Linked DNA regions of Elephas maximus indicus. The protein of the gene in region 1 interacts with the protein of each later gene in a biochemical or structural test. Links are inferred from orthologs where the notes say so. Each region holds a gene or a part of one and is shown in the gene's direction. Other genes may lie near its edges.

The links. The genes of interacting proteins can lie anywhere in the genome.
Region 2: the proteins of RNF181 (region 1) and ITGA2B form a complex in vitro, tested with the Homo sapiens proteins (2 studies listed by BioGRID). The link is inferred for Elephas maximus indicus from reciprocal best matches to the Homo sapiens genes RNF181 and ITGA2B.

Annotation. Positions count from the first base shown.
Region 1 is NC_064835.1:49,004,584-49,011,586, reverse strand, and holds RNF181 (E3 ubiquitin-protein ligase RNF181), read left to right. Parts: upstream 1-4,061; 5' UTR 4,062-4,089; coding exon 4,090-4,175; intron 4,176-4,771; coding exon 4,772-4,902; intron 4,903-5,048; coding exon 5,049-5,158; intron 5,159-5,315; coding exon 5,316-5,390; intron 5,391-5,619; coding exon 5,620-5,679; 3' UTR 5,680-6,384; downstream 6,385-7,003. Other genes in the region: VAMP5 (vesicle-associated membrane protein 5), read left to right, coding at 45-182, 624-833; TMEM150A (transmembrane protein 150A), read right to left, coding at 6,906-7,003.
Region 2 is NC_064837.1:50,889,867-50,897,355, reverse strand, and holds the start of ITGA2B (integrin alpha-IIb), read left to right. Parts: upstream 1-4,340; 5' UTR 4,341-4,350; coding exon 4,351-4,538; intron 4,539-6,176; coding exon 6,177-6,298; intron 6,299-6,389; coding exon 6,390-6,487; intron 6,488-6,610; coding exon 6,611-6,776; intron 6,777-7,056; coding exon 7,057-7,106; intron 7,107-7,182; coding exon 7,183-7,228; intron 7,229-7,333; coding exon 7,334-7,462; intron 7,463-7,489. UniProt on the Homo sapiens protein: Integrin alpha-IIb/beta-3 is a receptor for fibronectin, fibrinogen, plasminogen, prothrombin, thrombospondin and vitronectin. It recognizes the sequence R-G-D in a wide array of ligands.

The DNA of each region.
Region 1 (7,003 bases):
ATATGGGGGCCCTATGCTGCCCTGACCTTGGGCTTGGTGCCCAGGCAGGGAAAGAGTTGGAGCGATGCCAGCGGCAGGCTGATGAGGTGACGGAAATCATGCTCAACAACTTCGGCAAGGTCCTGGAGCGTGATGGGAAGCTGGCAGAACTGGAGCAGCGTTCCGACCAACTGCTGGACATGGTGCGAGGCCTGGGGAGGCAGACAGGGGAGAGGGGCAGGCTTGGAGGAGCCGTTCAGTGGAGCTCTCAGGCTGTGTACTGAGTCTCTAGGCCTTTGGGAGGGGGGGTCTGAGGTCTGCTTGAGGGTCAGTGTGGGGTTTCCTGCATGTGATGGGTAGACCCCAGGAAGTTAAAAGTCCTTAGCTTACAGCTGTGTGCCTTCCTAAAGGTCGAGGACTGGCACTGCTAACTGGAGGTGAGCCAGTGGGGCTGCAAGTCAAGGGCTACACTGTGTCAGGAAGTCAGGCTGGGAGGCCCTGGCAGGCTGTGTGGAGGGAGGGAGAAGACATGTTGAGGAGCATGCAGGAGACTAGGCCTTGCTGGGGCCGGGGGTGGGCTTGGGGGGAGCTGGCTCTGTCTCTGGGGGAACCACTCACTCCCACCGTGTCTGGGGTCTCCACAGAGCTCTGCCTTCAGCAAGACGACCAAGACCCTGGCCCAGAAGAAGCGCTGGGAGAACGTCCGTTGCCGAATTTACCTGGGGTTGGCGGTGGGTGGCAGCCTGCTTGTCATCCTGATTGTGCTGTTGGCCATTTTTCTCCCCCAGAATAGTCAAGGCAGCAGTGCCCCACAGGCCCAGGGCGCGGGCACAGCCTCAGGGCCGGGGGACTGACCTGGCTGGGCCTTTGGGACAGGCTGAACAGCCACACTAGCCAGTTCCGGTCTCCTGAGAACCCTGGTGTTCATTCCCATCTGAGCCACCCCAGTGATCTTCAGAGGACAGTCCCCATGTGTGCACCTCCACGCCTCCCATCACGCCACAGACTGGCTCTTGAGAGCAGCCTGCTGCACTGGCCGTGCCAGGCCAGCCCTGCCTGGATCTCAATAAAAGCTGCTGTTTGCCTAAAAGCTGGTTTGTGTGTGTCTCTGAGGGTCCTCGGGTGGTTCATCCGCACCCTGCCCCACCCCTGGGGCTGCTTACAAATTCCACCACTGCTAGGTCTCCACCCTGGGAGGTGGCTTTTTCCTCTCCCTTTTCTCCTTTGTCAGACACTACACAGACACGCCTTTCTGGGCTTCAGGTACACAGCACACAGCAACCCCAGACCAGACCCTGGAACCAGTCCTCCTGTTTCCCTGAGAATGGAATCTATTTTTTTCTGGCATCTTGAGAATGCTCAGAAGACCAATGCGACTCCAGATGGGGTGACAAAAAAGAAAATACTTTAAGGATTTTAACAGCATGAGGCCCTCTCTCACATTCATATTCACTTTTTGCCCTGTGAACACCTTCCCCCTCCCCAGTTTCTCCACCCATCTTCTTCCTCAAGATTCTACCAAATTACCCATGAGGCAGTTGGCAGTGAAAACAGGAAGGGCTTCTAAGGTCCTTTAATGCAGGGTCACAAAGGGTAACCTGGAGTTTGCCTTGTAGGAAAGAAGTCAAGCTTTTCAAAGCTCCAGGGGTCACACAAGGATCACTGGGTACAATAAGCCATGGAAGAAGGAAAGAGGCCCCACTAGGATTGTGGGAACAGGCAGTCTCTGCCTGGGCTGCTTAACTTCAGCTCATAATTGTGGATGAGGAGGGGAATTCCAGGTCATGTGTGTAACACAAGCAGTTTTTTCTAGATAGAATGAGGCTTCTGACAGAAAAAAATGACAACCTCTAGGAGTTGTCTGAAGCTTTACTCTTTTTTTTTTTAAAAAAAAAATTTTTTTTTTTTTTTTACTCCTTACAGATCTTTGTTACTTTCACTGGGCTCCTTACTCTTTCCTTTTATGGGAAAGGAGGTCCCTGGGTGATGCAAACAGTTTGCACTGTACTATTAACCTAAAGGTTGGTGATTTAAACCAGGGCTTCAAACAGTTTCATTCTGGTTCAAACCCCTGCTGAGAATTTGCAAAGTTGTATGTAAGAATCACCTGGGGATCTTGTTAAAGTGTAGATAGTGATTCAGTATATTTGGGATGGAAATGCAAATGTTGCCCCAGCTAAAAAAAAAAAAAAGAAGCCTTGGTTTAAACCTACCCAGCAGTGTTGTGGAAGAAAAGATTGATGATCTACTTCCGTAAAGATTATAGCCAAGAAAACCTCATGGAGCATCTACTGTGTAACATAAGGAGTGGAATCGATGGCAATTTTTTTTTTTTTTTTTAAGTTTTGGTTTTTATGGGAAAGATGGAGAAAAGCAAGAGGCTCTGTAGCTAGTCAGCATTCCACTTACAGGCTGTGTGAATTTGGACAAGACTTGTTTTTGCATATGTAAAAAGGAGATGATGATACTTTGCTCCTAGGACTGTTCTTAGGATTATTAATGCTAGGTGTAAAAAGGCATCCATCAACGTAACAGCTCTAGATGCTATCATCCAAGTCATTTAATGCAGCTCTTCTCAACCCTGCCTCATGTTAGAATCACCTGCAGAACTTGTAAAAATACCAGCACACAGGCCCCACCCTAAGCCAGAAACCAAATCAAACCTGCGCTGTGCAGCCGATTCTGACTCATAGCCACCCTGTAGGACAGAGTAGAACTGCCCCATAGGGTTTCCAAAGAGCGGCTGGTGGATTCGACCTGCTGACCTTTTGGTTAGCAGCCGAGCTCTTAACCACTGCGCCACCAGGGCACCAGCCTAAACCCCAGTCCCAGTGCTGTCGAGTCAATTCCGACTCATATCGCACCCTGGATCAGTTAAATCAGAATCTTTAAGGGGTAGGTATCAGACATGGATTTTCCCCCAAAAGCTCCTTTCTCCCCCTACTCCAGGATTCAGGTGTAGCTGGGATGCAAACCACTTATTTAGTTCAAGCCACTAGGTGCTATTTTTATTTTTTCATTGTGGTGAAATATATATAGCATCATTTCAGCCATTTTTAGATGTACAATTCAGTGTCGTTCATTACATTCGCCATGCTGTGCAACAATCACCACTATCCGCTTCCAAATTCGTCATCACTTTAACAAAAACTCTGTACCTCTTAACCGTTACCCCCCATTTTTCCTTACCACCTGTCCTTGGTAACCACTAATAAACTTTGGTCACTAGGCATTTGCCTATTCAAGCCGCTAGTTTTACAGACTGGGAAGCAGAAGCTAGGGTCTAGGGGAGAGGTTGAGCAAAGGGCTGAATGAACGTCACACCAATAGTCCAATGAGCAGATGAGGCCCGGGATCTCCCGGCAGGGATCTTCCCTCCCTCCGTTAGGAGGTTTGCCCCATCCTCTATCGATGTGACTAAACCAAAAACCAAACCCAGTGCCGTCGAGTCGATTCCGACTCATAGCGACCGTATAGGACAGAGTAGAACTGTCCCGTCCCGTAGAGTTTCCAAAGAGCACCTGGCGGATTCGAACTGCTGACCCCTTGGTTAGCAGCCGTTGTGAATAACACATAAGAAATCTGCAAGAAATTTTTGTTTTTAGGGGGGTGAGGGAGGAATCAAGTGTAAACTCCTGAACCATCCAGAAAGCAGCGCAGCGCGGGGGCGAGGGCGAGGGCAGGGCAGCAGTCCTGGCTCTCACCTAGATCGCAGATTTGAATCTTAGGGTCAGGGCTCCAGCATCTGCATTGCCGGGGTCCTCTGAGCCTCAGGGCTGACTGAGGACCCTTACAGCCTAGACAATTGGCTTTTCAAAGCGCTACGGCCATGACCAGAAGCAGACATCTACTCTTCATTCCGACTCCAAAACAGAAGTTTTCTGGTCAGTCCCAGCCCCTCCAACGGCTTTAGTCTTTGGTCACCTGACTTACTCGAGCCAATAAGAGGCAGCCAAATTAATACTTCCGCCGTCTGTTCCGTTAACAAGCCATTGTGTCCGCCCTCCGGATGCTCTGATTGGCCATTCTCTTTCAACTCGCCAGTTTATTGGCCGGTGCCGAGACGTCGCCGTCCAGCAGGGGTCCGGGGGCTGTGTCAGCGTGGCAGTCATGGCATCCTATTTCGATGAGCACGACTGCGAGCCTTTGGATCCCGAGCAGGAGGCCCGAACCAACATGCTGCTGGAGCTCGCAAGGTGGGTGCGCACGGCTGGGAGGTCGGCGCTCGGGCGTGAGGACCCAGGTACAGGATTCTGGGCTAGGGTTGCCTGGAGAAGGCGGATTCTCTGGGCCAGCCAGTTCTGGGCAGGGACGGGATAAATTATCTGGAGTGTCGTCCGGGCGGCGAGATCCGGGATAATTTGGATCGGCAGGGCGGGCCTGGGCAAGGGGATTCTGTCTGGGGAAGACTGGGGCGCGGTGGGAGTAGAGGGCAGCCGGGTCTAGGATGGACCCGAGAAGGCGGGTCTTGAGGGGCGGGGTAGGGCCCGGTGGATGTGAGTAGGTGTACTTGTTAGAAACATGAACCCCGGAAGCCGGCACTGCAGTCTTGGAGTCTGGGTCTACCAGGTCATTGCTGCGTAGCCTTGAGTAACTTCTCTGAATCTGTTGCCTCATGTGTAAAATGGGAACAAAATCGCAGCTGTAAACCATTTTCCACCGTGCACCTCCTATGGGGTAGCTATGACGACTACTAGCTGGGCAGGGTATTTATAATGAATATCCAGTGGATTATGGGGCAAGGAGGAAGTATGCTTTTCTTGTTTTGATCTAGCGTCCTCTGCCTCCTCAGGTCGCTTTTCAATAGGATGGACTTTGAAGACTTGGGGTTGGTAGTAGATTGGGATCACCACCTGCCTCCACCTGCTGCCAAGGCTGTGGTCGAGAGCCTCCCCAGGACAGCCATCAGGGGGTCTCAGGCTGGTGAGGACATACTCCCTAAGCTGTTGGGGCCCTCCCAGAGCTGACTGCTCTGCTTCTTCAGTTTCCCAGGCCAGGTGTGCCTTTCTGGAGTGGGGGCTGGGGGTGGGGCCCACAGCAGCTCTCCTGATCAGCACTCCCTCTCAAAGACCTCAAGTGCCCCGTGTGTCTTTTGGAATTTGAGGAGGAGGAGACGGCCATTGAGATGCCTTGCCATCACCTCTTTCATTCCAACTGCATTCTGCCCTGGCTAAGCAAGGTACTGCTTCCCCTCTCCCAGCCCTCACTCCACCCTGGGCCCGGTTCTCAGGTCCTGTTTATGAACTGTTGGGTGACCAAAGGAGTGGGGTGGTAAGTGGGATCAGGGGAGGAATCTTGGCCAGACCCAGGCTGGAACACTGCCCTGCTTTTCCCAGACAAATTCCTGCCCCCTTTGCCGCCATGAGCTGCCCACCGATGACGACACTTATGAAGAGCACAGACGAGATAAGGTAGGGGCTGGTGCTAAGTGGAGCGGGTCCCAGTAGACTCCTTTTGCCCCCATGGCTGCCTCCTTCCACACCTCAGCAGGCCTGTGTAGGCCCTCAGAATCCCTGGCTCTGGCCTTGGTGAAGGGTGAGCACTTCAGCAATGCAGATGCCAATGGCCTTCAGTTGCCCTATTCCCTCACTTACAGGCCTTCAGGGATGGCCCCTGCCCATTGTGCCCTCTTTCCCTCAGGCTCGAAAGGAGCAGCAGAAGCACCGACTCGAGAACCTCCATGGAGCCATGTACACATGAGGCAGTTGTGGTTGAGCACCAGCCCTCCCAACGTCTTCCTCTTGAACCTTGAATCCTCATTAAAGCTCTCTTTACCCACCCTTCGGCTGCATTGCTCACAGGCCTGGGAGTGTGCTCTGCCCCATCAAGTCCTACTGCTACTGGGGAAGGTGTTCCTGAACCACAGGAGGCTCCAGGCTTTGTTTCCCTCCCTCCCAAGCCTGCTGGCCCATCTGGACTCAGGGCAGTAAAGAACCTGGCTACTGGACCAACCAGGGCTTTGGCCTGTGTGTTCATGGTTGGAAGGAAAAATGGGTCAGAAACTGGCACCAGTAGCTACTGAAAAGCTGGTAAAGAAAAACCAGCTTATACCCCCTCCCCTCTGGCAATTTTTAGTTAACCTTGGAATCCCAGGAACTTTGTGTAGCTTTTCACATTTTAAGGCTGCTCCTTCAACACATTCCCCCACCCTCCACCCCAGAATCAAAGTTCAAACCACACTCCGAGATGGGGAAGGGAACTGTGAATAAGATTATCAGACCAGGTCAGTTCTTCAGACTGCAAGCCCTTGAGAGGAATTTTTTTGCACCTGGCTGCCCTGCTCAAAGAGCTCAAAGAGCAGAGGGCACTCAGGACTCTCCCTGGGTGGGGCTTCCTCCTGTCCACTGTCTTGTCTAAGGAAAGCCCTGCTGGATCAGGCCCTCTCTGATTCTCCAGAACAGACTATACATATGCAAATTAGAATTCTTTTAATAGATATAAAAAAAGTACTAAAATACCCACATGGTTCTGCTGTGTTATTCACTCTAAAGGAAGTGAGGGGCAGAGTGAAGAATCCCGGTGTGTCTCAGTGGGCCCGGAAGTGGGCCTTCCCAGACTAAGCCACGCACAGCCCCCCTGCCCCCCACCAGCTATCTATCCCTCTCACCTTTCCCAGCCCCAAATTCCTGCAGCAGGGAACCCCAGTGGTCTGGCTTCAGAACTGGGGAGTAGAAGGCACCTGAAGGGCTGGCTGGGCGAGTGAAGATAGGTGATCTTAGAACACAAACCATCCGCAGTGGGAGAGCAGCAGTTGGGCAGCCGGCAGGGCTGCTCCTCTCTGGCACAGATGGATGTGGGATGGCCACTCCAGGAGTGAGGAAGCCCGCAACCCAACGTAATACTTGAAAGCGTTTTTGGTACAAATTAAATGCAAAGAAGGTGGGGTTGGAAGCCGTGGGGGCTGGGCCAGCCACCCTCCCCAGATCTCAGATCATGGCGATGCTCTCGGGGGCACAGTTGAGGTGTGTGGAGGTGCTACTGCTTCCTGAGGGCTTGCAGGCCCGGCCAGGGTTAGGCTGCAGTG
Region 2 (7,489 bases), on another chromosome or scaffold:
CAAGTGACAGGACTCATTTTTCTTTGTTTTCAGCCCATGTAAATATTTAAATAATACAGTATTAACATTTCCGTGCTGCTTCCCTTCAGCTTGTAGATCGAGCCATGTTCTGGCCTCTCTGCCTTCCTGGAGGCAGTTTTCTTTAACTTCCAGAATAGTGGTTTTAAAACTTAAAAAAAAGAAGGAAAAACAAAATGACCTTACTTACAAGCGTAACAGACTGTATTTAACTTTATCACATATGATAGAGATATATATGCTGTAAAATGAGGGAAAGAACTTTCTAATAAACCAATGATTTGTGGAAACTTAGCAGAGTCTGTCGTGATCGTTCCCTGTTCACTCAAGTTGGGAAAAGATGGAGTTGTGGATTGTAAGTAACATCCTGTTTAAAGTGACCAAGCAGTAGACTCTTGTGAACCAGTTGTTTGTGATATTTGAAACTGTGCCTCTCAAAGCTTGGACTGCCCACTTCAAAGGCAAAAGATGGCTGTGGGCAGAAGTAATAGGAGTTGTGTTTCTCTCAGTGTTAGGTAAGTGTCTCTTTCTGCTCCCTCTTTCCCCGTAAGAACTTCTGTTTCTTCCCTTTTTCTTAAATATATAATCTATGTATGGCATGTAGGTGCTCATTAAATGGATTTGGAATTTCTGGCTTTGATTTTTAGGATTTTGGATGGACTTAAGGCCAGTGGGATTACAAGATTGATCTACCTAGTCTTTGCCCTCCAGGTGGAGTTCTGTATACCAGGCTTGGCTTCCTCTCCTCAGCCCTTTAATGTCACTGCAGTCAATACTTGAGAGCCTCTGCTTAGTATAAGGAAATACATCCCAACTGTTACTGAGCCGATAAAAGCTCCTACTTTTCTGTATCAAAAATCACAAGAGGCAGGGAAGTTTAGCGTGGAAAACTAACCACAGATTTGTCGTAATAGTTTCCCCTCTCCTTAACCTTTCAGGAAAGAAGACTGGTGTTCATTTCTTTCCTAGTGTCTTTGATAAAGCTATGCTCTGTCCACCAAGGAGAAGCTCTTAAAACCCTGGGTTGGGTGCTCAGATCTGACTGTTTCCTAAAATGGCAAAGATCCCTGCCCAGAAGGAATGGATGTTAGAAAATATAAAAAGTGAGTTTCTGAGAGCGGGCAAGCGTCCTTGTTCTGATAAGGGTTCCACTTCCCTCCCAGCCACCTGAGCTTGAATCGTGAAATTACTCCATCTTCTGTACCCCCCATGACTAATTCAGGCGTAGTCAACCACTTCCGTTCTTATTTGCAAGAGATACTCTTATTAACTCATGTTGGAATTACTGCAGCATCTTCCGGGCTGGCCTCCCTGACTCTAGGAACTAATAGCCTGCCCCATGTAAGTTTACTCGCTTTTTAGAATCTGAGTTCAATTAATTTTGTATTCACTGCTTCTGGTAAAATTGTAAACTCTGAGAGGACAGAAACTGATTGTTACACTTCCTTTTTCTTATCCCTTAGGATGTCTTACGTAGAATTGAGCACATGTAAACATTTTGATTGTATGTTCAAGAAGACAGGAGTAAAGTAAGATACCACAAACCATGGATCATGCACGAGGATTCAGTAAGGGAACATTTGAAGATAAGAGATTTTTCTCGAGCCTCCACATCACCTGGCTCAGAGCCAGGCACATAGAAGCTCAGTAATTTGTTGACTAAAATAAAACCTTAGTAGAATTCAAATTCAGTGAGGGATTCTTGGACTCAGTCTGATGGGATGAGAAAGTGGGACCAACGTGTCAGCACTTCTCTGCCAACTATCAGAAGGGAGATCAACCCAGCTCTGACTCCATAAAAATACCCGTAAGAACTAAACAACTCTCCCTACCCAAATCTGATCACCGTCTGTATTTTCAACTCTAGTTAATGATGCCACTGTCTGGCCAGACACCAAAGCTAGTAGCTACCTTGGATCCCTCCCTACACATCCAGTTACTGATTCTGTCATCACTTTTGTTCCTGCCATTAGTACTCGGGCTCAGACCTCATCACCTTTAACCCAGAGGATTGCAGTCACTGTCCATCTGGTCTTCCCACTAAATCCTTTTCTTGCCATAGGCAGCCAGTTTAATCTTCCAGATCAAAGCACAATTGATCAATGTATCCCATCCCCTGGCTTTAAAAATCTTAGTGATTTTCCATCTCGTATGGGTTAAAGTTCATTTTCCTTAATATGGCATTGAAGAACCTCCAGTGGTTTGATCCCAGCTTTCCGTCTCACCCTCGTGCAAATTCACCCCTTTGAGCACCCTATGCTGAGTTAACTAGTACTTGCTTTTCCCTATAAGTGGCTTTTGTTGTTCTGCTGTTCTTTTATGTTATTCCTCTGCGTAGAAACTCCTTCATTCTCAGACAAAAGGCAACGTAGTATAATGGTTAAGAACATGGACTCAAGTGCAAACTTGTGTTTGAATCCTAGTTAGTGGCACCTATTAGCTGTGTAACTTGGGCAATTTACCTAAAACTATGCACAGTTACGTGTGTTCATGTCTTAACTCCCTCTGCACTAAGTTTTTTAAGGATCTTTGATAATGATCTCTGTATCACTCAGTGCCTTGAACAGAACAAGTACTTATTGAAAGTTGTAGTGGACTATGAATTAATAAGGAGCTCTGGTAGCACAATGTTCAAGCTCTCTACTGCTAACCAAAATGTTGGCAGCTCAAACCCACCAGCCGCTCTGCAGGAAAAAAGACCTGGCAATCTGCTCCCATAAAAATTACAGTCTATGAGGCAGTTCTACTCTGTCCTATAGGTTCACTATGAGTCAGAATTGACTAGACCACACACAACAGCAACGTGAGTTAATAGCAGCTCAGTTGAGGACAGTTGGGAGGGTGAGTAGAGGACTGGGTTAAGGATTCATTCTAACAAATGTATTGCAGGCCTGCCAGGAGCTTGGCACTGGAAGTCAGCAGTGAAGAAAGCCCAGATTAAAGTTGAAGGAGCGTTTAACCTAGCTAGGGATAGGATTTTGAGCTGTGTGCTGAGATGGTGAAGTATGAGGGGAGCTGAAAGGATTCCAGAATGGCACAGGGTAGTTGGGCAGTTTGATCAGAAGGCAAGTATGGATGAAGAGAAGAATGTGGCTATGTTGCCTTTACATCTAGACTTCTTGAATCTCCTTGAGAACAGCTTTTTTGGGAAGGCATGCAGTGCCAGTTAGACTTAGCACTCCTGTCCTCTTCCCCGTATCCACAGAAGATGACCTTGCCTTTTTGCTCAAAACTCTTTCTTCTTTTCCCACTGTGTGACCCTGTGTTTGCATCTTTATCTTTTTGTGCATATTTCTGCTCAGTCTTTCTTTTAGTCATGCATACTACATATTAGGCCCTGGGACTGCAGAAAGGAACCATGCTTTGAATTCACAGACAAAATCCAGTGAACAGACCATGATTATATAGTGTGGTCAGTGTTAGCTCTGGGTGCCAGCCCGAGGAGTTGGAGGAAACTTCCCCCAGGCGATGATCCCAGCAAAATCAAGTCTTAATGGTTAGACAAGAACTTTGTCACCCAAAAAGGAGCGAGAGCCTGCCTTCAACTGAATAGCTTGTACATAATCTCAGAGCCTGTGAACCAGAATGCCCTGGAATAATTTCAAATTGTACCCATTTCCTTGTCCCTTAGGCCAAGGTCCATTCACTGTCCCCCCTCCCAACACTGGCTGCACTGCTCTGGCAGCACTGAGACTTGGCCCAACATGGACAAGGAGTGAGGAAGCTGCTGCCTCAGTATGGCTGGCTGAGGCTGTCCAAAGCCCTAGAAGGAAGAAGTGATTAAGTACCTTATCCAAAAGGATACAGCAGCCTGAGGTCTTATCAGGAGGCAGCAGCTTCCTTCTTCCCCCACTTTTGGCCAAGTCAATGCGCCATAGCAGCGCAGCCAGCTTGCGGGGGGTGGGGGGCAGGGCGAGGCCAGGCGGGAAGGTTGTAGAACTGTGGGCTATAGTGGAGGCGTACAGACCAGTTAATTCATGATTGTACTATCCCAATAAAAAGTAATGGTGACTTGCACTAGAGTGGTGGTAGTGGAGATGGAGAGAAGATTCAAGAGAAATAATTGAGAGGTAGAACCACCAGGAGTTGGTGATAAACTGTTCCCAGGGAAAGAGAGGAGTCATTCCTCTCAGCCCTAAGCCTCACCCCTTTCCTGGCAATCCTGGAGAACACATGGATGTGTGCAGGGGCTGTATAGCCCTTTGCTCTATCCACTGCTCAGCAAGTTGCTTTGGGCCCCAGCTTGATAAGAAATGACTTCCTGTGGTGGAAACTGAAGGAAAGAGGAAGAAGCTGGCCCATTTCTGCCTAGGAGATTGTGGGAGAAGGAAGATGGCCAGAGCTTTGTGTCCACTGCATGCCCTCTGGCTCCTGGGGTGGGCACAGCTGCTCTTAGGACCCGATGGTACCCCTCCAACCTGGGCCTTGAACCTGGACCTGATGCGGCTCACTGTCTACACAGGCCCCAATGGTAGCCACTTTGGGTTTTCACTGGACTTCTACAAGGACAGCAAAGGAAGGTGAGCCTTGTGGGAAGTTTGGGGGTTGGGAGAGAGAAGGAACCCCAACCTGTCACTGCTTCTGTGAGCCCATTTCTGATGGAGGTTGAGCAAGACGATTTATAGGGTCTATAGGGTCTCTATGGTCGGAACCCACTGAACAGCACTGGGTTTTGGTTTGTGGCTCAGGCTGAAGTCTGGTTAGAAATAGTGGGCAGGGACCAGCTCAGGTGAGAGTGTCAGGGAGAGGACACCAGGGAGGAGATAGGCACTAAAACTACAGCAAGAACAAAGGGAAGACAAAAGTTGATTTATTTTTTTTCTCAAGGGTCAGTTGTAAGACCCACTCCACTTTCCTCCCCTCAAAATACAGAGAGGTGCACGTCTTAAGTTGACTTGCAAAACTGTAAAATAGTCTGCTCCCACCTTGCAATTCTACTCCATTTCCCTTACCAAATATGCATATTTGAAAAGAAGCAATAGAGCATTAATGGTTGGGATTGATTAGGCCATGAAATCAGACTGCCGAATTCCCCCCTATTAATAGCTGTGTTACCCTAAGCTACCTAGGTAGTGTGGTGGACACTGTGATGTCCAGCTTCAGGAAGTAGCAAGGGCAGACAGGCTTCAAATGTCAGCCCTTTGTGAGATTTCCTCTGCTGAAAAGAACCACCTTGCCCAAAGTCAAAACCTTTCCCAAGGTGGCCCACTTCCACTGACTGACAACTCGTGTGTGTGTGTGTGTGTGTGTGTGTGTGTGTGTGTGAGATAAGGGTCTGACTGTGATAATTTTGAAGGGTCTTTCTAGCTCCACGGCATGGAGGGGAGGGAAGGAGAGTTGGCCCAAGTCTTTCTTTGGACCTGCGTATGAGTTCCACTTCTGCCCACTCCTTTCACCTCCTTTCTACAGGTATTGGTTTCATGGGTACTTCGGAAAAAAAAACCCTGAATGCGTTTTAAAAAAAAAAAAAGCATTTTGTATATTGAGCATTACTATGTATTTGGTTGGTACCATGCCAAATGTCCCTCACACATTTACTCCTCATGACAACAGTGATTGGCTGGTATTGTCCTCATTTTACATAGGAAAGGTTAAATGACTTTGGACAAAGACAGTAAATGGCAGAGCTGTGATTTGAACCTAGATCTGCTAGGGTTCTCAGCTCTATCAGCAACCTTCCCCCACCCCCGCCCCCCACCCCCAGGCGCCCTCTGGCTTTCTTCATTCTTCACCATTAAAATCAATTCTCAGAAAGGGATCTGGTAAGGAATAGTCTTCAAACGAACATTGTAGGGAGCATCTGAACCCCTGGCTTTTGGTGGGACGGAAAGGGAGAGGGGATGGAGGTAGTGTGCAGAGCTTGGGAGGTCTTTTTCATGAGGAATAGCAAAACCCTCGTGTCCAAATCAAACCAAATGGTTATAGTGCCAGCTTTAACCTCAGTTCGCTGTATTGCTTTAGGAAAGTGATTTCCTCCCAGAGTCAGTTTCACTGTCCATAAGGTGAAGATGCTGGCCTCGACGGTCTGTGAGGTCTTGTTGAGGAAAGCTGGTCCAGGCCCCCACGGCACACCGTCCTCTGGGCAGTGCTTCCAGCGTGGGCACTGGGCATGGGCCACGCGGGAATGCGTGCAGCGCTCACCCAGCTCTCCTTCGCAGCGTGGCCATCGTGGTGGGCGCCCCTCGGGCCTTGGGTCCTAGACGAGAGGAAACTGGCGGTGTGTTCCTGTGCCCCTGGAAGGCCGAGGGTGGCCAGTGCACCTCGCTGTCCTTCCACCTCAGTGAGTCCGGAGCCAGGAGGGACGGAGGAGGGGCCAGAGGGGGCGTGGACAGCCGGGCTTCAGCGCCCCCACACCTTCTTCTGTTCTCCAGCGGATGACAACCAAAACGTAGGCTACCAAACCCTCCAAACCTTCAAGGCCGGGCAAGGACTGGGCGCGTCGGTCGTCAGCTGGAGAGACAACGTTGTGGTGTGGCCGCGGGATAGGGGATAGGGAGCAGGCGGGGCCGGGGATACGTCTGGTGGGAGGAGTGAGGTGGGGCCTCAGTCCCAGCCCCGCGCCCTTCCTTACTCCTCTGTGGCCCTGCCCCAGGCCTGTGCTCCCTGGCAGCATTGGAATGTGCTAGAAAAGACCGAGGAGGCCGAGAAGACGCCTGTAGGTAGCTGCTGGGTGGCTCATCTCCAGAGCGGCAGCCGGGCGGAGTACTCGCCCTGCCGGGCCCGCACCATGAGCAAGATTTACGAACAAAATCGTTTTAGTAAGCTCCGCCCCTGCTTTGGCCCCGCCCACTAGCTGCCCAGCGCTCTAACAAAATCGGGTCGCTTTGAGTCGGAATCGACCCGACGGTTTTTTTTCTTTAGTCTAGTCCCTCCCCCAGCGCGCCAAAACTCTGCTTTCAGTCTGGTTTTGCCCTTTCAAGGTCACGCCTCTATATTACTCCTGGCCCCGCCCCATGGCCCCGCCCCCGCCGGGCCCAGGCTCGGATCCACGCTTCTCGATCCGCCCCTTCACTGACCCCACCTCCTTGCGCCCTCTAGTGCTGGACAGACGCTACTGCGAAGTGGGCTTCAGCTCAGTGGTCACCCAGGCGAGTACCGAGCGTGAGAGGCGTGGGGGCGGCCCAGGAACAGGGCACCCTCTCACCTCCAGGGCTTCCCTTTTAGGCTGGGGAGCTGGTGCTTGGGGCCCCCGGTGGCTATTATTTCTTAGGTATGTCCCTCATCCCATCTGTACATCTCCCGCCTTTCTCCCAGCTTCCCCACCTAAGGGAGACCCCAGACATCTGGGCCCCCACACCCTCCCCCTCCGTCTTAGGGCTCCTGGTCCGGGCTCCAGTCGCCAATATCGTCTCGAGTTACAGTCCGGGCACCCTCTTGCGGTCCGTGCCCAGCCAGAGCTTCACCTCCGACTCCAGCAGCCAAGAGTTCTTCGACGGCTACCGGGGTAACCCTGGCAATGAGCTTCCAGGCT